4 linked regions of the Anolis sagrei genome follow. The protein of the gene in region 2 purifies or fractionates together with the protein of the main gene of each other region. This does not show direct contact. Links are inferred from orthologs where the notes say so. Each region holds a gene or a part of one and is shown on either strand. Other genes may lie near its edges. The genes, in order: DDX42, FUS, HNRNPU and LARP1.

The links.
Region 1: the proteins of FUS (region 2) and DDX42 purify together in Homo sapiens (affinity purification with mass spectrometry; 3 studies listed by BioGRID and IntAct, with this or other methods). This does not show direct contact. The link is inferred for Anolis sagrei from reciprocal best matches to the Homo sapiens genes FUS and DDX42.
Region 3: the proteins of FUS (region 2) and HNRNPU purify together in Homo sapiens (affinity purification with mass spectrometry; 7 studies listed by BioGRID and IntAct, with this or other methods). This does not show direct contact. The link is inferred for Anolis sagrei from reciprocal best matches to the Homo sapiens genes FUS and HNRNPU.
Region 4: the proteins of FUS (region 2) and LARP1 purify together in Homo sapiens (affinity purification with mass spectrometry; 3 studies listed by BioGRID and IntAct, with this or other methods). This does not show direct contact. The link is inferred for Anolis sagrei from reciprocal best matches to the Homo sapiens genes FUS and LARP1.

Annotation. Positions count from the first base shown.
Region 1 is NC_090026.1:29,726,696-29,734,279, reverse strand, and holds the start of DDX42 (ATP-dependent RNA helicase DDX42), read left to right. Parts: upstream 1-4,570; 5' UTR 4,571-4,707; exon of another isoform or gene 4,708-4,711; intron 4,712-4,884; 5' UTR 4,885-4,962; intron 4,963-7,584. UniProt on the Homo sapiens protein: ATP-dependent RNA helicase that binds to partially double-stranded RNAs (dsRNAs) in order to unwind RNA secondary structures. Unwinding is promoted in the presence of single-strand binding proteins.
Region 2 is NC_090026.1:14,970,332-14,977,829, reverse strand, and holds the start of FUS (RNA-binding protein FUS), read right to left. Parts: upstream 3,020-7,498; 5' UTR 2,928-3,019; coding exon 2,915-2,927; intron 1-2,914. UniProt on the Homo sapiens protein: DNA/RNA-binding protein that plays a role in various cellular processes such as transcription regulation, RNA splicing, RNA transport, DNA repair and damage response. Binds to ssRNA containing the consensus sequence 5'-AGGUAA-3'.
Region 3 is NC_090021.1:54,921,068-54,928,064, reverse strand, and holds the start of HNRNPU (heterogeneous nuclear ribonucleoprotein U), read right to left. Parts: upstream 3,005-6,997; 5' UTR 2,788-3,004; coding exon 2,079-2,787; intron 1,375-2,078; coding exon 1,257-1,374; intron 1,038-1,256; coding exon 964-1,037; intron 1-963. UniProt on the Homo sapiens protein: DNA- and RNA-binding protein involved in several cellular processes such as nuclear chromatin organization, telomere-length regulation, transcription, mRNA alternative splicing and stability, Xist-mediated transcriptional silencing and mitotic cell progression.
Region 4 is NC_090022.1:81,925,990-81,933,523, forward strand, and holds the start of LARP1 (la-related protein 1), read right to left. Parts: upstream 3,005-7,534; 5' UTR 2,814-3,004; coding exon 2,318-2,813; intron 1-2,317. UniProt on the Homo sapiens protein: RNA-binding protein that regulates the translation of specific target mRNA species downstream of the mTORC1 complex, in function of growth signals and nutrient availability.

The sequences.
Region 1 (7,584 bases), about 15 Mb from region 2:
TATTCTTACTTACTAAAATCTCATACTACAGTAAGATATACATCTTTTTCAGGAATACCTCCGTTTCATTATTTATATGGTTATTTATTTTGCTATTCTTGAAATCTCAAAGTGCAATAAAGGAGATTAAAATATAAATAATTATAAAAATGTGATGGTGATAATGATATTTATTTTACCCCACTTTCCTCTTTTAAATTAGGCTTGAAGCTTTTTAAGGCTCACAACCTTAAAAACAATACAGCTATGGCCCTTTTTACACTGCTGTACAAAATCCAGATTACCTGCTTTGGCAGTATAGACTCCTGTAATCCAGTTCAAAGCAGATAATGTAGATTGTCTATTGTGTGATTTTTGGCCTTGATGGCCCTTCCACACAGTCATATAACCCAGAATATCAAGGCAGATAATCCATAATATCCACTTAACTGAGTTATCTAAGTCCACACTGCCATATAATCCAGTTAATGTGGGATTTTATACAGCTGTGTAGAAGGGACTTCATATAATACATTTCAAAGCAAATGTGGATTATCTGCTTTGATAATCTGGATTATATGACAGTGTAGAAGGGGCCTTAGAACCCACAACGTATCATCTATGGTTGGATTATATGAGTCTACATTGCCATATAATCCAGTTCAAAACAGATGATCTGAATTTTATATGACAGAATAGATCCAGCCACAGGGTGTAAACATAAACTGAAAAGCCTGATTTGCATTGATAGCTAGACATAGCTATCAGATAGCCTTTCGGACTACTGACAGCTATTTGTCTTATCAGTCCTACCCAATAGTTATTAGTGGCACAGATTCAAATTTCAATTAACCTCTGATCTATATGTGTGTGTCAAAGTATGTATGTATGTCAGTTTATGCTACAAAGGCTCTTACTTGGTTTGATGGATCTGGGCCAAATTTGGCACACACACTTTTCATGGTCCAATTTAAAATAATTGAGGGGTTTGAACCTTATAAAGTCAAGAACATAGGGAAAGAAAAGGAATGAAGGGGATTAGCTGCTGCCCCTGGTGGAGCCCCTGGTGGCGCAGTGGGTTAAACCCCTGTGCCGGCAGGACTGAAGACCGACAGGTTGCAGGTTCGAATCCGGGGAGAGGCGGATGAGCTCCCTCTATCAGCTCCAGCTCCTCATGCGGGGACATGAGAGAAGCCTCCCACAAGGATGATAGAAAACATCAAATCATCCGGACATCCACTGGGCAACGTCCTTGCAGACGGCCAATTCTCTCATACCAGAAGCGACTACCAGAAGCGGCTTGCAGTTTCTCAAGTTACTCCTTACACGATAAAAAAAAAGCTGCTGCAATGTGAAGTGGCCCTTTGTCACATGACTGAAGAAGAACAGGAGTGAAGCAGACTGGCTGCTGCTTGGTGATACGAATAAAAAAAAGTAACGATCTACACTGCCATATAATCAAGAATATTTACTTTGAACTGGTTTATATGGCAGGTTAGATGTATATAGAGAAGACAATTATGCTGGGGAAAGTGGAAGGCAAAAGGAAGAGGGGCCGACCAAGGGCAAGATGGATGGATGGCATCCTTGAAGTGACTGGACTGACCTTGAGGGAGCTGGGGGTGGTAACGGCCGACAGGGAGCTCTGGCGTGGGCTGGTCCATGAGGTCACGAAGAGTCAGATATGACTGAACGAATGAACAACAACAACAAGATGTATATAATCCACTTCAAAGGAGTTAATGTGGATTATCTGCTTGGATAATCTGGATTATATGACAGTGTAGAAGGAGACTAACTCTGGAGGCCTGGGTTTGAATCCCTGCTTTGCCATTGAAACCCACTGGCTGACAAGTCATGCTCTTTCAACCTCAGAGGAAGGCAAATCTCATTTGGACAAATCTTCCAAGCAAACTTTGTACTATGACCTCTTCCACTCAGCCATATAACCCAGAATTTCAAGGCAGACAATCCACAATATCTGCTTTGAACTGGGGCCCTTTCCACACAGCTGTATAACATCCACATTGAATTGGATAACATGGCAGTGTGGATTCTGATAACCCAGTTTAAAGCAGATATTGTGGATTATCTACCTTGATATTCTGGGTTATATGGCTGGATGGAAGAACCCTAGATTAGGACTTTAGGATTGCTACAATTGGGGAATAATTTGGGGCCCTTCCACATAGCCATATAATCCAGAATATCAAGTCAAATAATCGACAATATCTGTTTTGAACTGGATCATCTGTGGCCCCTTCCACACAGTCAAATAAAATCCCATATTATCTGCTTTGAACTGGAAGATATGGCAGTGTAGACTCAGGGCCTGTCCACACAGCCCTGTATTCCAGAATATCAAGGCAGAAAATCCCACAATATCTGCTTTGAACTGGGTTATCTGAATCCATATTGCCATATAGGCCAGGGTGGTCCATGCCTTAAGTCACCTCTAGACTGGATTACTGTAATGCACTCTACGTGGGGCTGCCCTTGATGGTCCAACGGGCGGCAGCCAGGTTGTTAACCGGGGCTCCTTACAAGGAGCGGTCAACCCTCCTGTTTAAGGAGCTCCACTGGCTGCCATTCATTTTCCGGACCCAATTCAAGGTGCAGGTTCTCACCTGCAAAGCCCTGAACGGTTTGGGACCCGTCTACCTGCGTGACCACATTTCTGTATACGAACCCACACGATCTCTTCGATCACCTGGAGAGGCCCTGCTCACGCTCCCACCTGCATCGCAAGCGTGAGAGGGCCTTTTCGGTGGTGGCCCCTTGACCCTGGAACTCACTTCCTAAGGACATCAGGCATGCCCCAACTCGGCAGTCTTTAGGAGGAGCTTGAAGACGTGGTTGTTCCAGTGTGCTTTCCCAGAATAATGATCCCATAGCACTTTGTCCTCCAAACGCCCCATCACTTTTTCACCCATGTCCAGCATTATTTTTAAATTTTAATTACATTTGGCCTACCCATAGATTTTAAAGTGTGTGGGCCTATTGTTAATGCTTATATTATTGTTTTATTGTTTTGTTTGATTTTAATTGCTTCCATTGTTGTTGTTATTGCTTGTATTGTTGTATTCTGGGCTCGGCCTCATGTAAGCCGCACCGAGTCCCCTGGGGAGATGGTAAGGTAAAGGTAGCCCCCTGACATTAAGTCCAGTCATGTCTGACTCTCCATTTCTAAGCCGAAGAGCCAGCGTTGTCGTAGACACCTCCAAGTTCGTGTGGCTGGCATGACTACATGGAGCGCCGTTACCTTCCCGTCGGAGCGGTACCTATTGATCTACTCACATTTGCATGTTTTCGAACTGCTAGGTTGGCAGAAGCTAGGGCTGACAGCGGAAGCTCACGCCGCTCCCCGGAATCGAACCTGTGACCTTTCGATCAACAAGCTCAGCAGCTCAGTGCTTTAACCCACTGCGCCACCGGGGGCCCCAATGGGGAGATGGTAGCGGGATATAAATAAAAGTTTATTATTATTATTATTATTATTATTATATATTCCATTTCAAAGCAGATGTGGGATTTTATTTAACTGTGTGGAAGGGGGTCAGATAACCCAGTTCAAAGCATATATTGTGGGATTTTCTGCCTTGATATTCTGAGATGTAGGGCTGTGTGTAAGGGCCCTGAATCCACATTGCCATATTATTTATTTATTTACTTTACTTGTATACCGCAGTTTCTCAGCCCAACAGGCGACTCAACGCGGTTTACAACAAGGATAAACAAGGTTTATAACAAGGATAAAATCAATCAACGATATACAATTTAAAACCATAAGAGCATAGTATACAATATTGACACAACAATAAACAAACACAATACATCTTATAACTAGAGTCGTGATCCAATTCGTCGTCCAAATTTCCATTCCTGTAATCATCACATTCATTGCACTGTTTATCTGAATGCCTGTTCAAACATCCAAGTTTTTAATCTTCTTCGGAACACCATTAGTGAGGGGGCTGATCTAACCTCCATAGGGAGGGCGTTCCACAGCCGAGGGGCCACCACAGAAAAGGCCCTGTCTCTCGTCCCCGCCAGCCGCACCTGTGAAGCAGGCGGGATAGAGAGCAGGGCCTCCCCAGAAGATCTTAGGGTCCTGGCGGGCTGATAGGCAGAGATACGTTCGGATAGGTAACTTGGGCCAGAACCGTTTAGGGCTTTATAGGCCAGCGCCTGCACTTTGAATTGAGCCCGGTAGCAAATCGGGAGCCAGTGGAGCTGGTGCAGCAGAGGAGTTGTGTGCTCCCTGCGCTCTGCTCCTGTTACTATCATGGCTGCCGAGCGTTGGACTAGTTAGAGCTTCCGAGCCGTCTTCAAAGGCAACCCCACGTATATAATCCAGCTCAATGTGGATTTTTTAGAGCTGTGTGGAAGAGGCTTTGAAGGAACAAAATAATAAAATGAAATACGGAAAGCCCTAATTAACCAGAGCTCTACACAAGCCTCCTCCTGCTTAAAAGAGCCCATAAGGAAATAAAGGCACGTGTGACTCTTTCTTCTGACTCTACGGTGCTGCGCCTACTTATAACGTAAGCAGCCGCCACTGTCGATGGCGTCACCACGGAGGAGGACAGCGCGAGCGAGCCGTTGCGCGGTGACGTCATCGCGTCACGGTGGCCAACGTCGCGCCCCGTTTCTTCCCTCGTAGTAAAAGAGTGGAGTTCTGAGGGACGGCGGGAGAAAGGGCGGAAAAAGGAAGTGTCACACAAGGTGGTGGGTAAGAAGCGGGGAAATAAACACTGGGGGAAAGGAAGTAAAGGCGCAGGAAGCGCTGCCAGGCCTTGTGGGGTCGCTGGGGAAGAAGGAAGGGGAAGGGGGCGGGGCTGCGGCCTAGCGGAGCCACAGAAGCCTTTGGAGCTGATCCCGTTCTGTTTGTCTCCCCTCCGCCAGGCGACCTGGTCTCTCGCCTCCAGAGGAATCCGCCGGACTCTTGCCAAAGGTGACCAAGTAGGCGTGAAGCTTGAGCAGGTATTGACACTGAGGCGACGGGGGAAAGCGGCTTCCTCCAGAGGTCCTGATCCAAGCGGCCTCAGGGTGCATCTCCATGACAGAATTAATGCACTCAGTTCTTGTGGGTTTTTTTCGTGCTATATGGCCATGTTCTAGAGGCATTTCTCCTGACGTTTCGCCTGCATCTATGGCAAGCATCCTCAGAGGTAGTGAGGTCTGCTGGAACTAGGAAAAAGGGTTTATATATCTGTGGAATGACCAGGGTGAGACAAAGGGCTTTTGTAAGTTGGGCTAGGTGTTAATCTTTCAACTGACCACCTTGATTAGCATACAATGGGCTGACTGTGCCTGGAGCAAACTAGTTCCAGTAGACCTCACTACCTCTGAGGATGCTTGCCATAGATGCAGGCGAAACGTCAGGAGAAATGCCTCTAGAACATGGCCATATAGCCCGAAAAAACCCACAAGAACTGAGTGATTCCAGCCATGAAAGCCTTCGACAATACATAGAATTAATGCAGTTTGACATGACTTGGAACTGCTATTGGAACTGTACGCTTTGTAAGCCTTCGCTGTCTAAGAATGCGGTTGTCTCACCAAATCACAACTCCCAGGATCCTCAAGCATTGTGCACTGGCAGTTATGGTGATGTGAAACTGCATTAATTATATAGCGTAAATCTGGCAAACTCCCCCCCCCCCCAGGTGTTTTGGACTTCAAATCCCACAATTCCTAACAACCTATGGCTGTTAGGAAGTGTGGGGGTTAAAGTCCAAAACACAAGGAGGGACCAAATTTGTCCATGCCTGGTGTAGATGCACCCTCAGACTTACCTTCATTCATGACTGCTCACCCTACACTTTTAGTATTTTGTCTGGGTTTTTTTTTGCTTTGTTCTGTTAGAAATGTAATATAATCAACTGGTTGCACTGACACTATAAATAAATAAATAAATAAATAACCCTACACTGAAAAGTGACTGTTATTCCAGTTTCATAGGTCATTGGGTAAATGAGAGAGCAAAGTATGCCTTTAATCATTTAGAATAGTGTTTCTCAATTTATTTATTTATTTCGAGCGCTTATACCCCACCCTTCTCAATCCCCTAGGGGGGACTCAGGGCGGCTTACAAAAGGCACAATTCGATGCCTAACAGTTCACAAAATAAAATATAACAACAACAACTATAACTAGTTAAAACAATCCAATTAATACAATAGCAGCAATAAAATCATCTTGTGGTCAATGTTCGCCAATTCATAAATCCATAGTCCATCCAGCATTATCCTTTCCTACTCTGGTTGTCATTGTCCTTTATCCATCTGCCAGCTTACCCAAAGGCCTGGTCCCATATCCAGGTTTTTAACTTCCTTCTGAAAGAGAGGAAAGAGAGGAGGGATGCTGATGACCTAATTTCCCCGGGGAGTGAATTCCACAGGCGAGGGGCCACCACCGAGAAGGCCCTGTCCCTCGTCCCCACCAGCCTCTCAAACTCAGCTCCTCCAAATATTTTGGACTTCAGCTCCCGCAATTCCTAACAGCTGAACCCGACCCTCCTGACAATGAGCCATCTAGCCATAGATGTAGATAGATATATATGATTCACACACACACACACAGATATTTATTTATTTATTTATTTATTTATTTAGTACACTTGTATACCGCTAATATCTCAGCCTGTGCGGCGACTCATTGCGGTTTACAACATATTTAAAAATACAATATTCACTTTAAAAATATAAAATAAAATATAAAAATACATACATATACATACATAGTATTGGGCCACCAATACAGACCGGAACATCTCATAGTTAAAGTCGTAATCCAATTCGTTATCCTTGATTGCTAGTCCATGATCAAAACATCATCACATCGGAATTAGTTGAAAACTTGCTCGAACATCCAAGTTTTCAGTTTTTTCCGAAATGCCATTAGCGAGGTGGCTGATCTTATTTCAGTAGGGAGGGCATTCCAAAGCCGGGGGGCCACCACAGAAAAGGCCCTATCTCTCGTTCCCGCAAGCCGCACTTGTGAAGCAGGCGGGATGGAGAGAAGGGCTTCTCCTGAAGATCTTAGGGTCCTGGTGGGCTGATAGGCCGAGATACGTTCGGATAGGTATGTAGGGCCAGAACCATTTAGGGCTTTAAAGGTCAAAGCCAGCACTTTGAATTGGGCTCGGTAGCTAATCGGTAGCCAGTGGAGCTGGTACAGCAGAGGAGTTGTATGCTCCCTGCGCCCTGCTCCTGTTAATACCATGGCTGCCGCCCGTTGGACTAATTGGAGCTTCCGGGCCGTCTTCAAAGGCAACCCCACGTAGAGAGCGTTGCAGTAGTCAAGGCGGGATGTAACCAGAGCGTGGACTACCGTGGCCAAGTCAGACTTCCCAAGGTACGGTCGCAGTTGGCGCACGAGTCTTAACTGTGCGAATGCTCCCCTGGTCACCGCCGAAACCTGGGGATCCAGGCTCAGCGATGAGTCCAGGATCACACCCAAACTGCGAACCTGTGTCTTCAGGGGGAGTGCGACCCCGTCTAACACAGGCTGTAACCCTATACCCTGTTCGGCCCTGCGACTGACCAGGAGTACCTCTGTCTTGTCTGGATTCAATTTCAATTTGTTCGCCCCCATCCAGAC
Region 2 (7,498 bases):
ACATAATGCAGCTTGAAATTGCATTATATGGGTAGCGTAGACTCACATCATGCAGCTCAACACAATTAAACTGCATTATATAGCAGTGTAAATGAGGCCAGACAGCTAGGAAGAGAAGCTACACAAGTCCCTCTTGTTCCACCACATTATTTGTTCTGTGTGTCTCGGGGACAAGTCACAACATTCTACCAAAATAGAATAAACAAACATAAACAAGCGCACACACAAATGGAGGACAGGAAAATTCACAGAGGCCTGAGGCATGTTCGAGCAGGCATTTGATTAAGCAGTATAATTGAATATAGGAATATGGAATAATGGATGATGAGATTGGATTCGGATTTTACTGATGAGATACTAATGATTGTTATATTGATGTTTTATCGTTGATGATGCTACTGTTTTAACTGTCCCATATTTGTTTTGTGATGTTTTTGCATTGAATTTTGCTGTTGTTAACCGCTTTGAGTCGCCTGAGGGCTGAGAAAAGCGGTATATAAATGAAGTAAATAATAAATAATTATCCTAATCCAATTTCTACAAAACAGATACACTGCCTTTGTGCAGGAAGACAAAATCAACATCTTTCCCCTTGAGTCACAACTATAGCTTTTTCTAGAACAGTCATGGCCAAACTTGGGCCCTCCAGATGTTTTGGACTTCAACTCCCATCATTCCTAACAGCCTCATCTGAGGGGGTAAAAGGAAAGGGCTTGAGGCTGTTAGGAATGGTGGGAGTTGAAGTCCAAAACACATGGAGGGCCTAAGTTTGGCCATGGCTGCTCTATGAACGCCTTCATTGGGGAGGAGAAAAAATTACATTGTATTATAGAATCATAGAATCAAAGAGTTGGAAGAGACCTCATGGGCCATCCAGTCCAACCCCCTGCCAAGAAGTAGGAATATTGCATTCAAATCACCCCTGACAGATGGCCATCCAGCCTCTGTTTAAAAGCTTTCAAAGAAGGAGCCTCCACCACACTCTGGGGCAGAGAGTTCCACTGCTGAACGGCTCTCACAGTCAGGAAGTTCTTCCTCATGTTCAGATGGAATCTCCTCTCTTGTAGTTTGAAGCCATTGTTCCGCGTCCTAGCCTCCAGGCCAGCAGAAAACAAGCTTGCTCCCTCCTCCCTGTGGCTTCCTCTCACATATTTATATATTGCTATCATATCCCCTCTCAGCCTTCTCTTCTTCAGGATAAACATGCCCAGCTCCTTAAGCCGCTCCTCATAGGGCTTGTTCTCCAGACCCTTTATCATTTTAGTCGCTCTCCTCTGGACACATTCCAGCTTGTCAATATCTCTCTTGAATTGTGGTGCCCAGAATTTGACACAATATTCCAGGTGTGGTCTAACCAAAGCAGAATAGAGCATGGGTAGCATGACTTCCCTAGATCTAGACACATTATGGATCAGGAAATGCTGTAAAAAGAAGCAAACCCACCCATGGGCCTCCAGAGTTATTTATATATATGTGTCTGTGTGTATGAGAAGTCGCCCCCACACAAGTAGAGGCTGCTGAGGTAACAAAGAATAGAAGAGCTGGAATCAGAACCATCAGCGCTTTAAATGAGAAGTCAAAGGGGCTTCCTGCGCATGCGCGGATCCCGCGAAGAGGGCAAAAAAAATGACAGTTGAGCTCGTGGGCGGTGAAGAGAATGACTCAACGGGGTGGACAACGTTCCAAAGGAATGGGGAAGGGCAAGGGCCCGGATGTAACACTGCGACAAACAGCCTTGTATACGCATGCGCAAGCTTTTCTTTCCCCAGCGCATGCGCGCGCCGCTCCTTCCTCTCCTAACTAAGCATCTGAAACGCCGGCACACACCTCGAGTACTTTTCCATTGTCTATTCCTCCCCCTCAGCGTGTTCACTCGCGCATGCGCAGCTGCCGAACACTGCCCGTGTGTCGTTGCCATGGGGAGCCCCGTCTCCTTCCCCTCCCTATAAAAGCCCAGCCCTCCCTCGCGCTCCTTCCAGAGCGGAACTGCCCCTCCTCGTGGCCTAGTTCTCACGCTGGCACAAAATGGCGGCGAATAATGGCGCAGTTCAAGATCTCTTCCTTCTAGACAGCCAAAAGCGACCGGCATGGCCTCCGAATATTACCCCTTAGTATATAAACCCAACCATAATACTATTTCCATATGAAACCGCTATTTAAGGGGCCTTTCGCTCCGTAAAATGGAAGTCACCCTATTCAAATGGGGTACAAAATGGCCTCCGTTGTAATAATACCCAATCTGTTCTTGTGCGTTTTTTCGGGCTATATGGCCAGAGGGTGGGGTGACTGGGGTGGGGCCAAGAGCTCTTCTCTGCTGGAGCTAGGTGTGAATGTTTCACCTCTCAACAAAAGATTCTCCCAGGCTCAGCCAGGCCTTCAAATGCTAATGAAGGTGGTCAGTTGAAACAGTCACACCTAGCTCCAGCAGACAAGAGTTCTTTGCCTCACCCTGGTCTTCCCACAGATATATAAACCCATTGTCCTAGTTCTATCAGACCTCACTACCTCTGAGGATGCTTGCCATAGATGCAGGCGAAACGTCAGGAGAAAATGCCTCTAGAACATGACCATATAGCCCGAAAAAACCCACAAGAACCTATTGATTCCAGCCATGAAAGCCTTCGACAATACAATACCCAATCTATTTCGCAATAAAGATCTATGCATGTAAAGGAATCGTGTAACCCCCAGAGAAAGGGAAAACACATCCTAGGAGACCCAATCCCTTTGAAAATCCTATTCCAACCCCATTGCAATCTTTAGTTTTAGTTTATCAGAACCAAGAATACAACCATTGAATCTTAATTCCTCCTGGTGAGTCAAACTCGCTGATTCAATGGCTCCACTCTGGATTCAAGCATTGCACCCGCTACAAAATTCAATATATTACACCCTTTTGTATCCTCTTCCTCACCGTTAGACGCCATTGCTGTAGACCCCTCCAAGTCTCCCCCCAAAGCGGCCAAAAGCAACCTTCCTTCCCGTCTCCTTGCCTCCGAGCGCTTTCCCAGCCCGCTCTTTCCTTTATATACTTCCCCCTCCCATTCAGCCTTTAGGCCGAACCATGTTAGTTTGTGGGGGGAGAGCCGAGAATAGACATCGTTTCCTCTCCCCACTAAACTGAACAACTCGCCGCCATCTCCTCCCAAAGAATCCCAAGCTAATATCAATCATTGATTTAAATAATTAACAGGCGAGGTTAATTCACGGGACTGGTTTCCAACAGAATGGGATTCCAACCCCCCCCCTACCGCACTGAAATGGTACAGTCCATATAGAACGGAGGTTAGGGTGAGCTCACAGAGGAAGACTGGAAGCAACCAAATTGGCAAAGAAGGGGGTCAGAAAAGGAAGAAGCAAAATAAATAAATAAATGGGAAATTGCTTCTGAAGACAAACAAGACATTTTCTCCAGTGGATTATAATATATTTAACGACTCCTATATTGTTGTTGTTATTTGCAGCCCGTTTACACTACATTCTTTTCCTGCTTCTTAGCAGGGGGGTTGGTCTAAATGGCCCACGAGGTCTCTTCCAGCTCAATGATTCTATGAAAAGAATCTCAGCACCAATTAAAATCCAAAAATATACAAACATTAAAATATTTATTTATTTACTATATTTATCCCCTGCCCCCTCTCACCCCGAAGAGGATTCAGAGCGCTTATATGTACATACTATCTATCTATCTATCTATCTATCTATCTATATAAATGCTCTGTGCATAATGCGTACCATAAAAAGAAAAGAACCAATGAGCGAAATCACACCAAATTTGGCAACAAAATGTCTCACTACACAAGGAGTGACCATCAATCAAAAATTACGATTTTGTCATTTGGGAGTTGTAGTTGCTGGGATTTATAGCTCAGCTACAATCAAAGAGCATTCTGAACTCCACCAACGATAGAATTGAACCACAGAACTCCCATGACCAACAGAAAATACTGGAAGGGTTTGGAGAGCATTGACCTTGAGTTTGGGAGTTGTAGTTCACCTATATCCACAAGGCACTGTGGACTCAAACAATGATGGATCTGGACCAAATTTGGCATGAATACTCAATATGCCCAAATATAAACACAGATGGAGTTTGGGGGAAATAAACCTTGACATTTGGGAGTTGTAGTTACTGGGATTTATAGTTCACCTACAATCAAGGAGCATTTCAAACCTCACCAACGATGGAATTGGGCCAAACATCCCACACAAAACCCCCATGACCGACAGGAAATACTGTGTTTCCTGGTGGTCTTTGGGGACCCTTCTGACACCCCCCTGGTGACCCCCCCCCCCCCCGGGTGTATTGACTTCCCAGGTTGAGAAATGCTGCCTTAAGGTCATCCAGCCCAGCTCCCTTCACCAGGGCAACAAAACAAAGCCTCCTGACAAAGGGCCATCCAGCCATTCACACACACACATATATGTATATGACAGATGCAGTATCAAAGATTTGAAAGGGACCCCTAAAGAAGGACAATGATATGTTACATGTTCCAGAGTAGGCAAACCAGACAATCTCCACATCAACACTGGCAAAGAAACAACGAGAAATACTGTTTACCCTCAAGCATAAAGACATTACATATATTAGAAACCAACACATTCTCATTACTTCATATCCAGATCACCAGACTGGGCCACAGCAACGCGTGGCAGGGGACAGCTAGTGTCTTATATTATTAGCCTAGCACAATATTGGCATTATATATTACTATATTGTACTATGCCACTATACTGTAATATCATTAGTAATGTTACACGTAATATATAATATATAAGTAATATTATTGTATTTTATTATTGTTGTTCATTCGTTCAGTCATTTCCGACTCTTTGTGACCTCATGGACCAGCCCATGCCAGAGCTCCCTGTCGGCCGTCACCACCCCCAGCTCCTTCAAGGTCAGTCCAGTCACTTCAAAGATGCCATCCATCCATCTTGCCCTTGGTCGGCCCCTCTTCCTTTTACCTTCCACTTTCCCCAGCATCATTGTCTTCTCTAGGCTTTCCTGTCTCCTCATGATGTGGCCAAAGTACTTCAACTTTGCCTCTAGTATCCTTCCCTCCAATGAGCAGTCGGGCTTTGTTTCCTGGAGGATGGACTGGTTGGATCTTCTTACAGTCCAAGGCACTCTTAGAATTTTCCTCACTACAGCTCAAAAGCATCTACTTTTGCTCAGTCTTCCTTATGGTTCAGCTCTCACATCCATAGGTTACTACGGGGAATACCATTGCATTATCTATGTGGATCTTTGTTGCCAGTGTGATGTCTCTACTCTTTATTATTTTATCAATTTTGGTCATTGCTCTCCTCCCAAGAAGTAAATATCTTCTGATTTCCTGGCTGCAAGAAACCCTGTTTCCCTTCCCCATCAAAATCCATAGCACCCTTGCAGCTGACTAGTGCCAAAATGCCAGGGCTTCCCAGTCCTTGGTGATTATAAAGTAAAGGTAAAGGTTCCCCCCGATATTAAGTCTAGTTGTGTCCGACTCTGGGGGTTGTTGCTCATCTCCATGTGTAAGCCGAAGAGTCGGCGTTGTCTATAGACACCTCCAAGGTCATGTGGCCGGAATGACTGCATGGAGCACCATTACCTTTCTGCCAGAGTAGTACCTATTGATCAACTCACATTTGCATGTTTTCGAACTGCTAGGTTGCAAGAAGCTGAGGCTAACAGCAGGAGCTCACACCACTCCCCGGATTTGCACCTGCGACCTTTCGATCAAGTTCAGCAGCTCAGCAGTTTAAATATATAGTACTATATTGTTGCTGGGGGGAAGAGCCCCCAAATGAGGGCACAGGAGATAAGGTGGAACTGTCTTCCTGGCCTCCCCTCCTCACTCTAACCCCAGAGCAGCAGTTGGTGCTGGGGGGAGGGCCCCTCGACTGATGGTACAGAAATAGAAACATCAATGGTATTAATTAAAATTAACAGGTAAAATCCTAACGAAATGCTTTGGACCAAAAGTATTTTTGATTTCAGTTTTCATTCCCAGATAGCTAGATAGATAGATTTCATGAGATATATTGGAGATGGGACTCAAGACTAAAATCAAAATTCATTTATGTTTAATATACACTTTGCATAAATAGTCTGAAGATAATTTTCTATTTATAATTTAATAATTTTGTGCCTTAATATAAAGCTGGTGTACACTGAATCAACAGAAGCCACCCATGTGGACAATTTTGCAGCATCTTTCAGATTTCTGGATAAAGAACTTGTGTTTCAAAGGAAGTAATTGGCCCCCACTGAATAAATGGAGGCATTAATATTTCACAAACTAGATTTTACACTTGAATCTGTACTGTATGCCATACAAGGATAAGCACCTTCTAGAGTTTTGATATAATCATCATCATCCCAGGCGACAGCAGGATTGATGAGAAGCAACTGGAAAAGCTTAGATATGAGGATTTAAATAACTGCAAAGACTCTGGCACAAGCCAGTAAAGGTGATCCCAGGGGTGATCAGCATACTGAGTGCAGTAGCTAAAGACCTTGGCCTGCACTTAAAAACAATCAGCGCTGATAAAAATTACCATCTGTCAGCTGCAAAAGGCCACCCTACTGGCATCTGCATGCATTATTAGCCGATACATCACACAATCCTAGACACTTGGGAAGTGTCCGGCATGTGATCTAATACAAAAGCCAGTATAGTAATCTTGTTTGCTGTGTACTAATTTTGGTTTGTATCAAATAATAATAACAACAACAACAGCAACAATTTCGCTGGACTGGCCATGTTGTCTGAATGCCCAAAGCAGGTACTATACTCCCAACTCAAGAATGGAAAATGGAATGTTGGTGGACAGGAAAAGAGAGTTAAAGATGGGCTTAAAGCCAACCTTAAAAACTGTGGCATAGACACAGAGAACTGGGAAGCCTGGCCCTTGAGCTTTATCTCTCCTGAAGGGGAATCCTAACAGCTGGTAAACTGACTGGAATTTCTGGGAGTTGTAGGCCAAACCACCTGGGGACCCACAGGCTGAGAACTATTAAAACAAAATCAAAGTTAAGTTCATAGAATCATAGAATCAAAGAGTTGGAAGAGACCTCATGGGCCATCCAGTCCAACCCCCTGCCAAGAAGCAGGAATATTGCATTCAAATCACCCCTGACAAATGGCCATCCAGCCTCTGCTTAAAAGCTTCCAAAGAAGGAGCCTCCACCACACTCCAGGGCAGAGAGTTCCACTGCTGAACGGCTCTCACAGTCAGGAAGTTCTTCCTAATGTTCAGATGGAATCTCCTCTCTTGTAGTTTGAAGCCATTGTTCCGCGTCCTAGTCTCCAAGGAAGCAGAAAACAAGCTTGCTCCCTCCTCCCTGTGGCTTCCTCTCACATATTTATACATGGCTATCATATCTCCTCTCAGCCTTCTCTTCTTCAGGCTAAACATGCCCAGTTCCCTAAGTTGTTGTAACTCAGTGGTTCCCAACCTTTTTTTGACCAGGGACCACTTTGACCAGGGATCACTCTCCAACATTAGT
Region 3 (6,997 bases), on a different chromosome or scaffold from region 2:
AGTACTGGAATTTTCTATTCTGAATTGCCCAGTAATGAAACTTCCTATTTCTAACTTTGGATTTAGGCCTCTTGATAAAACAATATGGTATCATGCTTTTGTTTCTTAAAATCATTCTGTGCTTTCAAGTCATTAATGACTTGTGGAAATCCTAATGAAAATGAATGCATCACTGGGCTTTTCTGGTAAATACTCTATTGAAGCGAGTTTGCCTTTGCCACCTTCTGGGGCTTCTAGAGTATACAACTTGCTCAAGGTTACCCAATGGGTTTCCAGGGTCAAGACTTCAAACCCCTGTTCTATAGAGTAACTCCACACCTGCCATTTTTTCCACATACTTGACAGAATTCTAGTTTTTTAAAAATGTGCAAAGCTCAGAATTTAAGATATTTGCATTACAGATGGAATCCTACCAGCACGTAACACCAGAAAAGACAAGATAAAATCTGCTGTTTTCAGGCAACTTATTTTTTCAACAGCTCTTTTGGAAAAGTACAGAATGGAAATCTGGTTTGACAATATACATTCTTCATTTCATGCTTTGCCTTTTAGACCTAGTATGACTTTTACACTAGTATGAACAGACTAATGCAGGCAGGGGAAAACTTTGGCCCACCTGGTGTTTTGGACTTCAACTCCCACAATTCCTAACAGCCTCGGGCCCTTTCCTTTTCCCCTTCAGCCACTCAAGCTTAAGCAGCTGAGGGGGAAAAGGGCCTGAGGTCGTTAGGAATTGTGGGAGTTGAAGTCCAGGAGGGCCAAAGTTTTCCCCTGCCTGCTCTAATGTGACTAAAAGCAGGCTAACATCCGAAAATATTAAGTATATGAACTACAGCTGAAATTATGCCTGCTATGATCATATTATCCATATATACAAATATATAAAAGCAACTGTTGAATACATTACAGTTGTCATCCTGAAAAATGTATTTGAAGAGACAAGAACACTTCTTTTGTACTTACAAGTATCAAGACAAACCACTGTGTCATCGAAGTGTTCATCCTCTTCTTCAACTGGTGGCTGCGGAGATTTGGCCCTAACCAATAAAAGAAATCGCTTGAATACAATCCATCAATAGGGATTTTAAAAATGAAAAATAGATATTATATATGAACTAAAAATACATATTTTATATATATAATGTATGTATGTGTATATATATACACACACACAATTAAAATATATGTATGTATATGAATATATAAAAAAATATATGGATATATGTATATCAAGAATTGTGTATTACTATATTTACCTGCTGTATTTATTCTCCTCAATATACTCAAAGTAACCTCGTCCATGGTCTTCACGTGGCCTTTTCACTCCCCTTTTTTTCTCTCCGGATTTTTGCTCAGATTTGGCTTCTTTATTATCTTTTTGCGGGAGGGGGAAAAAAGGGAACGTTGGAAGCCATACAATTAAGTCACGCAAACAACAGACAAAATGAGTTGCTCCAAGTTTTCCGGATGTATGGCCATGTTCCAGAAGCATTCTCTCCTGACATTTCGCCTGCATCTATGGCAGGCATGGCTGTGAGACCATAGATTAAGGCGAAACGCCAGAAGAGAATGCTTCTGGAACATGGCCATACTACCCAAAAACCTTAGGGATTCCGGTCATGAAAGCCTTCGACAAGACAGAAAATCAAATCCCGCGTGGCGTCAGGGCGCCCTCTAGCGGGGGCTTCCGGCAGGCGCTGCCTCTCCCTGGACTCCCCCGCCTCCTTTTGTGCTCAAGGTTTGAACCAGAGCCCGCAGCGCCTCACGGGCGGAAGTGACGCAAGCGGCAGAAAGCGCTCCCTCCTCGCAGGGCTCCACAGCGCGCCCCAGCGGCTCCTGCGCGCTGCGCTCTCTCTCCTTCCCCCCCACCCTGCGCGCGCGAAATGGCGGAAGCCCCTCCCCCATCCCACCACCACCATTACAGGCGCCTCTTGGCGCGCGAGGCCTAGATTTCCCCCCCTTTCTCTTCTTCACAGAAACAGGAGGGAAAGGGGGGGAAAACCAAGATGGCGCCTCGCCCTGACCCCGCTCCGAGGCGCCAACCGCCGACGCCCATCCGGGCCCCACGCACGACTCACCCGCAGGACGCGGCGCGGCCCCTCCGGGCTTGGGCTGTTGGGCCTGCTGCTGCTGCTGAGGCGCCGCCGCCGGCTGCGATTGCGACTGAGCCCCGGACGAGGCCTGCTTGGCGCCGGTCTGGGCCGAAGGCGCCGGAGCCGCGGAGGCCTCGGGCGCGGCTGCCTTGGCGCCGGGAGCCTCCTTGGCCCCGTGGCCGTTGGCATTGCCGCCCCCGGTCCCGCTGCCGGCCGGCGCGGCGGCTGAGGCGGCCTCGTCCTCCTCGTCCTCGCCCTCCTGGAAGCCCTGGTCGTCGCCGTTCTCGTCCTCGTCCTCCTCCTCCAAGTCCTCCTCCCGGGCGGCGGCCCGCTCGCCGTTCTCCTCGCCCACCTCCATGCCCTCCTCCTCGTCGTCCTCCTCCTCCGCGCAGCCGCCGAACTCGGCCTCCTCCTCCTCGTCGTCGTAGGCCGCGGCCTGGCCGGGCCCGCCGCCTGCTGCCGGGGCCAGGAGTTGCTCCGAGGCGCCGCCCGCCGCGCCGCCCTCCTCCTCCTCGGCGTTGCCGTTGCCCGGCTCGGCCAGGCCTCCGCCGCCGGCCTCCTCGCGGTCCAGCGCCGTCTGGAGCCGCTCCATCAGGTCGGCCTTGAGGCCTTTGTCGGAGAGGCGCCGCTTCTTCAGCTCCTCGCGGAGCTCCGACACCTTCAGCTTCTTCACGTTCACCGGCGAGCTGCTCATGGCGATAGCGGCGAGGGCCTCTCCGTGGGCGGCGGGGGCTCTAGCGGAGTGCGGCCTGGACGTCGGCGGCTGGCCCGGATCACCTTCCTCGGGGGCTGCGGAGAAGGAAGGAAGCAAGCAAGGAAGGAAGGAAAGACCCGCCTGGCGCCAAATCCTTTCAGCAAGGCTCGCGAGGCAGGGGCCGGGGACGCGCCTCGCGGGGTCGAGCACGCAACGCCACGCTGCCCCGCCCCCGCCCCGCGCCTTATATGGCCTAGCCACGCCCCTTCGCGCTCCCGCTCTCCCTCTCTCCCCCTCCTCTCTCTCTCCCTCCCTCCCACCCGCGCCGCTACCGTAAGTGCAGGCCCTGGCGCAGCATTACCGTAAGTGCGCAGCCAAAGCCTTCAGGCCTTATCATAGAATCAAAGAGTTGGAAGAGACCTCATGGGCCATCCAGTCCAACCCCCTGCCAAGAAGCAGGAACATTGCATTCAAATCACCCCTGACAGATGGCCACCCAGCCTCTGTTTAAAAGCTTCCAAAGAAGGAGCTTCCACCACATTCCGGGGCAGAGAGTTCCACTGCTGAACGTCTCTCACAGTCAGGAAGTTCTTCCTCATGTTCAGATGGAATCTCCTCTCTTGTAGTTTGAAGCCATTGTTCCGCGTCCTATTCTCCAAGGAAGCAGAAAACAAGTTCGCTCCCTCTTCACATATTTTTATACATAGCTATCATATCTCCTCTCAGCCTTCTCTTCTTCAGGCTAAACATACCCAGCTCTTTAAGCCGCTCCTCATAGGGCTTGTTCTCCAGACCCTTTATCATTTTAATTGCCCTCCTCTGGACACATTCCAGCTTGTCAACATCTCTCTTGAATTGTGGTGCCCAGAATTGGACACAACAGAAACCCCTTAACAAGGGGTGCATTTACACTGTAGAATTAATGCAGTTTGGCACCACGTAAATGCCAGGGCTCAATGCTTTGGCTTTGTGGGAGCTGTAGTTTTACAAGATCTTTTCTGCCAAAGGGGTCATTCCATGCCAAGTGGTCTAAACCAGGGGTCCTCAGACTCTTTAAACAGGGGGCCAGGTCACATTCCCTTAAACTGTTGGAGGGCCGGATTATAATTTGAAAAAAAAAAAAGAATTCCTATGCACACGGCACACATCTTATTTGTAGTGCAAAAAAAACTTTAAAACAATACAATAATTAAAATGAACAATTTTAACAAATAGAAATATATTAGTATTTCAATGGGAAGTGTGGGGCTGCTTTTGGCCGATCAGATAGGATTGTTGTTGTTGCATGCTTTCAAGGCATTTCAGACGTGGTTGACCCTGAGCGAGGGCCGGGTAAACAGTCTTGGAGGGTCGTATTTGGCCCTCGGGCCTTAATTTGAGGACCCCTGGTCTAAATCTTCTCACCACCACTCGGAGCGGCTCACAGAAACACCCCAAGTGCTTATAAACAACAGTACATAGGTAGTATATAAAGTGAGATAAATATTAAAGCAACAATGCACATAAAAACCCAACTGATAAGATTATAAAAATTGTAAAAGATTATAAAATTTTCTAAACCACAGTAGAATCTGCAAATAAAGCTGGCTATTTGCCGTAACAAATCAAAGTGCAGAGTGACTCGATCCTCGAGCTGATCATAGATTATACAGGGTCAAAGGCCTGTCTGAAAAGCCATGTTTTTGAACTCGAGTGGGGGCCAATCTAATTTCTTTAGGGAGGGGACATCAAAAAATTAAAATAGACAGATTATACCGTACTACCAGCAAAAAATAGCAAGAACTTGGAATGAATATTGCAGAAAATCAAGGACAAAAGTGCAAAGGCAAATTTACAGTTGAACATGGAGCAAACTAAAAATAATGACAACTATATAACTTAGAAATAAGCAAAGACATTGAAATAAAGATTCTCCATACTTTGGCTCGGTCGATATTCAGGATGGCGCCTGCAGTCAAGAAATCAGAAGAAGACAGCTATGAAGGAACTTCTGATGTGTAAAATAGATCATTGTATCTTAGGACTGACCATGGGATTGTATTCCCCACTTCTATGTACAGTTGTGAAAACTGAAGAATGAAGGGCGCTGAACAGTGGGTAAACTGATAGGAAGAATATCATTCCGTTTTAAAAGTGCAGAAGAAAAATTCTGTGGACACCATGGATTGCTAAAAAGACAAATCAATGACCCATAGAAGAAATCAAGCCTGAACTCTCGCTCGATGAATAAACGGAAACCATTTTGGTCATATCATGAAAAGGCATGGCTCACTAAAAAAGACAATAATGCTTGTTAAGTTAGAAGGCAATAGGAAAAAGCGGACAGTATTCCAGATAGGTTCTTACTAAAGGAAGCCACAGTCCTGAGTCAGCAAGATTTTAAAAAGGAGGCTGGCAATAGAGGGACTTGAGGTCAAAGTCAAAATTGACTGACGGCAGTTAAGAACAGCAACTCTATGCCAGCTCTCAGGACTCTTCTTCAAATTTCAAATGTGTTGATTTTCTTCCTATCAGGCTTAAGAACCATTTTGATCTGGATTATTCTGACTTTGATGTTTAATAATACATCTTTAGGCTTGAGGGTCTTATCAAGTTCCTTCACGGCCACACTTCCAAGTCTTCTGGTTTATTGGCAGCATTCCTCATTTTGATTAATGATTGAGCAAAGGTGTGGAGAATAATCTGCGTCTTCATAGTATTCAATTGTCACGTTGCTTTTGAACTTCTTTCATTTTCATCAGTATTTTCTAAAAGTCTTCGCTATTTTCTGCAAGTGAATGTGGTGTCATAGAACCGTAATTTCTCATGGTGTGTGTACACACACGCACATATAAAGCCCCATTTAGCCTGGACACAACAATCCAGTATTCACTTGCATTCTGCAAGAAAAATCATGCTGATGTACTAGGTCACATAAACAGCCCAAGTACACCCAATCCTTTATTCTCTTCCCACAATAGGCAACTAGATTTAAAATGATTGTGGGAACTTGTGTTCTTCAGCCATTAATATACAGAGGCTTACTTGCTTATTGCCAGTAGGGACAGAATTTCATCTATACTGACAATTGTGCTATCACCACTCAAGCTTTAATAGGCAGTAAGAGTGCCTAAAGCTTCCCAAAGCTTTAGGCACTCTTACTGCCTATTACAAAGAAACCCAGCTGATTCCTACTCCACCTAAAACACAGACATGTGCTTTTCATCTTAAGAACTGACAAGCATCTCGAGCTCAGGATTACCTGGGAATGAATCCCACTGGAGCACTGCAGCACACCCAAATACCTGGAAGTTAGTCTGGACTGTGCTCTGACTTAGAAAAAGCACTGCTTGACTATCAAGCAAAAAGTGGGTGCTAGAAACAATATCATATGAAATCTGACTGGCATAACCTGGGGATCACAACCAGATACAGTTAAGACATCTGCCCTTGCGCTTTGCTACTCTACTGCTGAGTTCGCATGCCCAGTATGGAATACATCTCACCCTGTTAAAACAGTGGATGTGGCTCTTAATGAGACATGCCACATTATCACAGGACATGTATGCCCAACACTGTTGGAGAAATTATATTGTTTAGCCGGTATTGCACCACCTGATATCCACCAGGAACTAGCAGCCAGCAGTTAAAGTACCAAGGCATTGACATCTCCAGCCCATCACCTGTTTGGATATCAGCCAGCAAGCCAACGTCTTAAATCAAGAAACAGCTTCCTAAGATCTACAGATACTTGCAGGAAAACCTCAGCAAGCGAGAGTCCAGAAGTGGCAGGTTAAAATGCAGCACCTCAAGCAGTGGCTGATACCAGATGAGAAACTCCCTCCTGGGCACAGAGAAGACTGGGTGACTGGGAAGGCACTGAACAGATTGTGCTCTGGCACCACGAGATGCAGACCCAACCTTAAGGAATGGGGCTACAAAGAGGAGTCCATGAAATGCAAGTGTGGAAAAGAGCAAACCACAGACTACCTTCTACAATGCAGTATGAGCCCTGCCACATGCACAATGGAGGACCTCCTTACAGCCACATGCGAGACATTCCAAGTGGTCAGCTTCTAGTCAAAGGAAATCTAGCATAATGCCAAGTTTTAAATTTGTGTTTTTTATACATTATAACTGTATTCTCAATTTGCTTCTGACACGATAAATAAATGCTTGCTTTCTGTTCTGGAAATAATATACAAAATATCTCCTATCACAAAGGTGCTGA
Region 4 (7,534 bases), on a different chromosome or scaffold from region 2:
TGGGCCCTCTGGGTGTTTTGGGATTTCAACTCCCACAACTCCCAGCTGTTAGGAATTGTGGGAGCTGAAGTCCAAAACACCCATGCCTGCACTAGCATGTCCTCAAGTCCTGATTTTATTTATGCGAAATGGTGAGCAGGTGACTGCTGTTACATTCACACTGAAGTGAGCATAAGCCTCACACAGCTTATCAACCCTACTCACAAAATGGCACTGCCCTCCCACTGAACTCCAATTACAGTGGTGTGCTCTGGGGTATGGCTCCATGACTCCGGTTGATACATGGATGATGAAGCGGTTAGAAAAATGATGTCCCTTATACAAAATGGGCAAAGCAAGGGGTAGTATTTTTCAACCTGTGGGTCATTGGATCCGTGGATAGGGAGGGCAGAGTATAACAAACTAGGGCCTTTCCACACACTCAGAGTATCAAGACAGAAAATCTGCTTTGAACTGGGTTATCTTGAAGGATCACTACAATCTGAGCCCACACTGCCATATGTATATATTCCAGTTCAAAGTAGATAATGTGGGATTTTATTCTGCTATTCAATCTGAGCCCACACTGCCATATATTCCAGTTCAAAGTAGAAAATGTGGGATTTTATTCTGATATTCAGTCTGAGCCCACACTGCCATATATTCCAGTTCAATGTAGATAATGTGGGATTTGATTCTGCTATTCAGTCTGAGCCCACACTGCCATATATTCCAGTTCAAAGTCGATAATGTGGGATTTGATTCAGGCCCTAGGTAAATAAAAACGACTTTCAGTGTTAAATACTGACTCAATAGAAACAAAATGGAAAAGCCCTGTTGAGTTAACCTACATAGGGCTAAGCCCACGTGGACGTTTGGAAGACCTTTGTCCTGCATTCACCTCCTTTCCCTTCCCCCCAAGACAGGAAGGGTGGGAAGGTGGGGGGGGGGGCAGGGCGCGCGGCCCCGCTGCGGGAAAACCGCCCTCCCCGCAAAACGAACGGCAATACGTTACAGTTAGAAGTCGGCAGCCCACGCGGAAAGCGTTAGCTGAGACACTCGCCCAACTGAGAGGCCTAGCCGTTCCAACCAACCTCCCCTCCTCCTCCTCCCGCCCTTGACGTAGGCTTCCCTGCCACCTCCGCCCTCAGAGTCGAAGGGGCCCTAAAGGGGGGTGGGGAAACTCTCCCCCCCCCCCAGGATTTGGGACTGTGGGGGGGGGGGGAGAGCAGAGAGAGAAGCGGCTACCAGGTCCAAAGAACAAGCCAGGCCCCGGCTATATGAGAGTGTTCGTCACATGCTCGCTCCGAAAGAAAACCACGTTGCCTTTACTGCAGAGGAATGCCGGGAAAGGGAAGAAAAGGGAGGAAGGAAGGAAGGGAAAGGGGGAGGGGGGAGGAGAAGGACGCTCAGAACGCACAGGCGCGCGCACAGGGACAGAGGGGGGGGCGCCCCACTGGGCGGAGGAGCGTTAGGAAGGAGGCGACGGAACGCTCAAACCGCCGCCTGCACGCGGACGCCTCGAGCGCTGCGGAGGGAGGAAAGGAACCAAGGGAGGGAGGGAGGGGGGAAGAGAGAGGGAAGGAGGGAGAACTGCCGACGCCCCCTCCCTCCCTTTACTTAAAGCCGCAGGAGGAAGTCGCCAAGGCACATGGCCCTCGCGCGCAGACCCGCCCGCTCTCGCCCCAAAGCGCAAAATACACTCATCGTGTCTCCAAAAAGCGCAAAATACACCACACACACACACAAAATGGATTGGAAACGAATTGCAAGCCCCTTCCCTCCGCTGTCGTGGTGCCTCCCCTCCCCCTCTTCTTCTTAGTCTCCGCCCCAACGCCATTTAACGAGGGCTCTACCTATATTTAAGGAAAGGAAGCAGCGTGGGGAATAAAAGGGAAGGGAGCAGGAAGGGGAATCCCCACGCGCTCGTTAAAACGTGGTGGGACAGCTTAACCTCTAATGGCGAATCTGGGAGGAGGAAGAGGAGGAGGAAGGGCTCCCAAACACGAGGAAAGGGGGAGGAGGAGGAGGAAGGGGGCGCTGTTCGGGCTGCGAACCCGCCCCATTCTCTCTCCCTCCCCCCTCCCTCCAAGATGTCTGAATCACGCCAAGCCCGCATGGCCCCATCTCCTCCCCTTTGGCTCCCACTTCTGATACTCTATCAAAAGATTTCCATAAGGGTCGCGGAGGGGGAGGAAGAAGAGGAGGGCAGGGTGGGCGCCGCCGGACAAAGGCGGGGTGGAGTTTGACGGGCGAGGGAATGTCACCATCTTGCAGGAGGAGGCCAGGGAGGCTCTTATTTGGCTGTCTTCCCCCAATCGCCCCCGTGTGGACCCACCTGGAGGCGACTGCCCGTTGAGGGCGACGAGCGCGGCGGGGGCGTTCTTGGTCCAGGGGTTCACCTTGGGCGGCGGGGCCTCGATGAACTCCTTGCGCCCGACGCCGCCCTCCTCGCCGCTGGAGCTGCTGTTGCTGCTGCTGGTGGTGGTCTCGCTGCTGCTCCGCTGCTGCAGGAGGTTCTCCTTCTCCTGGTTGTTGCTCTCCTCCTTCTGCTGCTTGATGCTGGGCGGCTTCAGGAGGGCCCCGTTCCGGCGCGGATGCGGCTCGCCTTCCTTGCTGCTGCAGCAGCTGTCGGGCCCGCCGCCCTCCTTGCCGCCGCCCTCCTCCTCCTCGCCGCCACCGCCGTCGGCCTCCTTCTCTCCGCGGGGCGCGAGGCGCTGCTCTCCCTTCTCTCCCGGGGACTTCTTGAGGACGAGGCCGCCGCCCCCGCCGCCGTGCTCCTCGGAAGGCAGCAGAGGGCTGGGCGGCGGGAGGGGCTCCACCTGGGTCGCCATCTGCGCCCCGGAGCCGGCCCGCTCCCCCTTCCTCACTTCTTCCTTTCCTTGCTTGCTTGCTTCCCCCTCCTCCCTCCTTTGCAAGCCCGCCTCGCCCGAGAGCTTTCTTTCCAACCCTCTCTCGGTGAAAGGGCGCAGCGGGAGCCCCAAGACGCCGGCTTCCTGCTCTCACGCCCCCCTCCCTTTGAAGCCCAACCCCCGCCTCGCCGCCCCCCTCCCCTCCCGCTCCCCCGGTTCTCCTCTAATGCCAATGCCCCCGCCGCCGCAGCAGCAGCAATATGGAGAAGCAAGGAGACCACGCGACTGGCCCGGCCAGAGCGAGCGCGCGCGCGCAGCCAGCTCCGCCCGCGTTATCCAGGCCCGGGGAAGGAGGGAGCGCGCGCGCATACAACACACGCACACGCACAGACGCCTTCACGCAGGCAGGCGCGCGCACACACGCACGCTCACGCTCTTTCCCTTTCGCATGACGAGCGCGCCCAGGAGAGGCGGCGCGAGCCCGAGCCCCGGCGGGGCCGGCGCGTGCTGGGTGTCATAGGGAGACGCTCCTTAAAGGGGCAGCGTCGCCGCTCGGGAAGAGAGAAAGGTGGTGGTGGTGGAGGAGGCGGAGCCTTGCCTTCAAACTTCATCGCTGCCAAAGGGCCTTCTGGAGCGAAGTGCTGGCTTTCACCTCCACGGAGGGCCTACTGACTCTGATAAGAGAACCAACAGAACAAAGCCCAAAAGGGGGGAAAAAGGCCTCCCCCTGCGGAGCTGGAGAGTTCTATTTGACTTCCAAATCAAACAAAAACACGGACAAGGTCGGCCTGAAGCCACCACTACCCGATCGATCGCGTGGGGCCTGTTTCCTTGGAAGGAGCCCACCCCGCTCCAGGCAGAAACATGTGCTCAGGGTCGCAGGGCCGGGTTGGTGCTCGCTCGTTCTCTCTCTCTCTCTCTCGAGTACCAGCCTGCGAAGGGAACGTGGAGCAACCACGGCGGAATTAGCGCAGTTTGACACCGCTTTAACTGCCAGGACTCGATGGTATGGGAGCCCCGGGAGTTATAGTTTATTGTGGCGGACAAGGCCAAGCATCTCACAAAACTAAAGGACCAAGTGAGGAAAAGATGTGGGTAGCCTAAGCTGCAGTGGGCTCAGTCTACTGTTCGTCTCTCAGCGGGTAGGCCTCGGCCTGTGGGAAGGAGGCAGGGCCTACTCTTCTTTCAGCTCTAGGCTCCTCTAGTTTTGTGTTGTCTTGACAGCAAAAGAATGTTTATACCGAGTCTTTTGACCAAAGAGAGTTGCCTCCATTTGAATCCAAAGTTTTCCCTCCCCTTTGGTGAGATACCTTTTGGCAGAGAAGGTTAGAGACCTCGTAAAACTACAGCTCCCAAGATGCCAATAGCATTAACATAAAAATTCTAAAGTACAGATGTGCACATAATAATAATAATAACAATAAACCCTACCATCTCCCGCAGGCAGGACTCGATGCGGCTTACAAGAGGCCGAGCCCAAAGTACATCATTAGTAAAAACAACAAGAACAATACAATGCAAAAATAAATAACTCATAACAAAGCAGAACATTAACAAAAAACACGACAATATTAAAAACCTGTGGCAGGGCCAAATGTAATGGTTAAAATTCTAAAAATGCTGGGCATGTCCAGGTGAGGTAGAATGAATATTTTGGAAATAAAAGGGTGTGCAGACAATTCTAATTCTCTCATAAAGTGCATTAGGGACATCCTGTAGTTTCCTCAACCTATCTTATTTATATGTGTGGTATATTTTTTTTCTGAGAGAACCTCATCACACGTCAATCCACTTTAAATGCTGTGACTGCCTCCTAAACTACAAACCCCAGCATTTTGCAGGAGGCAGTCACACCATTTGAAGTGGGAAAATGCTCAAGTGTGATGAGACCCACATGCTTCTCCCCTACGTTTCACCCATACATACAGCCATCCCTCCTGACTGGGGATTTGAATATGGGCCATCCCAGGCCTAGCTATTGGACTGCCTCGCTGCCTATTCAAGTTACATGGCCTTTCGCAAAGACTGCTTCCAAGGAACTTACACTGTAAATGTCAAGCAGTGCAGGGGGGAGGAGAGAGGAGAAAGGAGAGAAACCGGCTAATTCAAGACACCACTGACTAGAAATCAGCAGTGGTTTCTGAACTCTTGTATACACAGCAATATGGACGTATGTGTCAGTTTCAAACAACAGACATTTCAGGTCAAACAGCCCTGAGGATAGATCCAGCATAGCTGTATGCAACACGTTTATTTTTTTAATCAGAAACTTTTTAATTAAGAGATTTCTTTTCATATTACCTTGTGTCTGATGTGGTAAAATTGTGTGCATTTTTTTCATGGCAAAGCTAGCGTCTGAAACAATATCAGGAAGAATACACAGAAATGTATCACGATGAGCAAGAAATTTACATTATTCTTCCAGACACACCCCTGCCAAGAGAGGGATGCAACATAAAAAGTGGCACCCCAAATGTAGATGTATTTATTCTTATACAAAAATGAAGGAAGGTTTGCATTAGTAGTCTTGACAGAGGCACTATATATAGGATTTATATTTCGCCCTTCTCACCCCAAGGGGGACTCAGGGTGCAGCACAACATATATACGGCAAACATTCAATGCCGAAACAAAATAAACTATAAATATACACAATATACACAAACACTAAAATCAGTTATCTCTAAAATCAATTGTTTAAACCCATTTCAGATCAGCCATACTAGAGCTCTCCAGCTGAGAGGTCAAAATAGTCTTCCCTAAATTGCAAATCCCAGGATTTCATAAGAAGGAACTATGGTGGTTAAAGTGTAATTGGCAGTATGACTATGTGTAGTATGAAAGGATTCTTTATGTGACCGTTTCACCTCTTGTGTCCATAATGAGTTATGATAACACTTAACAAGTAAACTTTTGTAGGCATCACTGATCACCATAAACAAGGCCTGAGCATGACTTGGCATTTTTGTTACTTATATGAACAAGCAAACACATGGGATGTCTCATAAATGACAGGACCCCGTTTTTGTTAGTAAAAACCTGAAAAGAAACATATAAAGCAAGACAATGGCAATTCTTAAGCATTTTTTTCTAATATGCAAAAAAAACAACAACAGGTAACTTGCAACTCAGTGAGTGCCCAGCCTCCAATAACACCTGACATACGTACTATTTCCCCCCCCCCTTTTTTTAAATTACACCGTAAGCCCCTTCTACACTGCCATATAATCATTATCAAATCAGATAATCCACATTATCTGCTTTGAACTGGATTATCTGAGTCTTCACTGCCATATAACCCAGTCCAAAGCAGATAATCTGGATTTTATACAGTGTGTAGAATTTGGATTTTATATAGCCTCAGGCCCTTTCTACATTTATTTATTTATTTATTGTATTTATACCCACCCTTCTCATCCCGAAGGGGACTCAGAGTGGCTTACAGAACACACATATGGCAAACATTCAATGCTGATTATACAATTAACAAGGACAGTCAGCACAAACAGAGGTAAAGCCCATTTTACTCATCTTATTTCTGGCATTTTGGACTCCAGCCATGGGGAGGAGGATGCTGTCTTTCCATCATCCATGCCAAGGAGATTTCCTCCAATCAATGTCCTTAAGGGTGCCTTAATTGCCTCCCTGCTAAAAGCGGTACCTATTTTATCTGATTACATTTCTGCTTTCGACCTGCTAGGTATGCAGGTGAGCTGGGGCTAATGGCGGGTGCTCAACCCCAACATTCTGATTTTTCTGCAGCACAGCAGTTTAGCCTGCTGTACTAAGCCTGGCCCTTGTATCTACGCTGTCCTTATATCCCAGGATTTAACCCAGGTTATCTGCTTTGAACTGGATTATACAGTATGAGTCTCCACTGCCACATAATCTGGGATAAACAGTTAAACTGGGATCAGATCCTAGTATATAGAGCTCTGTGGAAGGGGCCTCAGAAACAGTTTCTGTTTTCTTAATTCCATAGGATTCAAGAGTAATCTATAGTGTGACCATAAGACACATATTATAGTAGAGCCTTCTTTGCTGGAAATTTTGAAGGAGGAGTAAGCACTTCCCAGAATGTTGTTTTAAAAAACTGCCATTCTCTGTGGCTGCCATTTCATATGTATTATAAGTGCTATGAGTGTAGAATGGCCAGTTCCATATGCCTTTTGGTAAAGTGAAGAAAACACACATCCAGCATTCCATTTTATTCATAACTTGAGAAGCAATTGTTTCCTCTTGAATTAAGATAGAGGCAACCCTCTGGATCCATGGTTTCAGCTTGATTTTTTTTTAAATTTTACATTTATTCACATAGTTTGAAGGTAATTTTATACATTTATTTATTTATTTATTTCAATTACTTTTACCCCGCCCTTCTCACCCCAAGGGGGACTCAGGGCGACTTACAGACGAAGGCACATAATTTTGTGCATGAAACAAATGTTGTGCACATTGAACTGCCAGAATGTAAAGAGGTCACTATCTCAGCCACCCATGGAGATAATTTTAGATTTTGGAGAATTTCAGTTTTCCTGATAAAGGATACTTACTCAACCTATAATGCCTTTATAATAGCTTGTGATCAGAGCCACCAAGACCTCATTCTCACTTTATAGTAAAACTATGCCAAGAGCATAACATATCAGCACGCATGGCATTTCTCACATAATTGAATGTGAGAGAGACACACACTTATATGT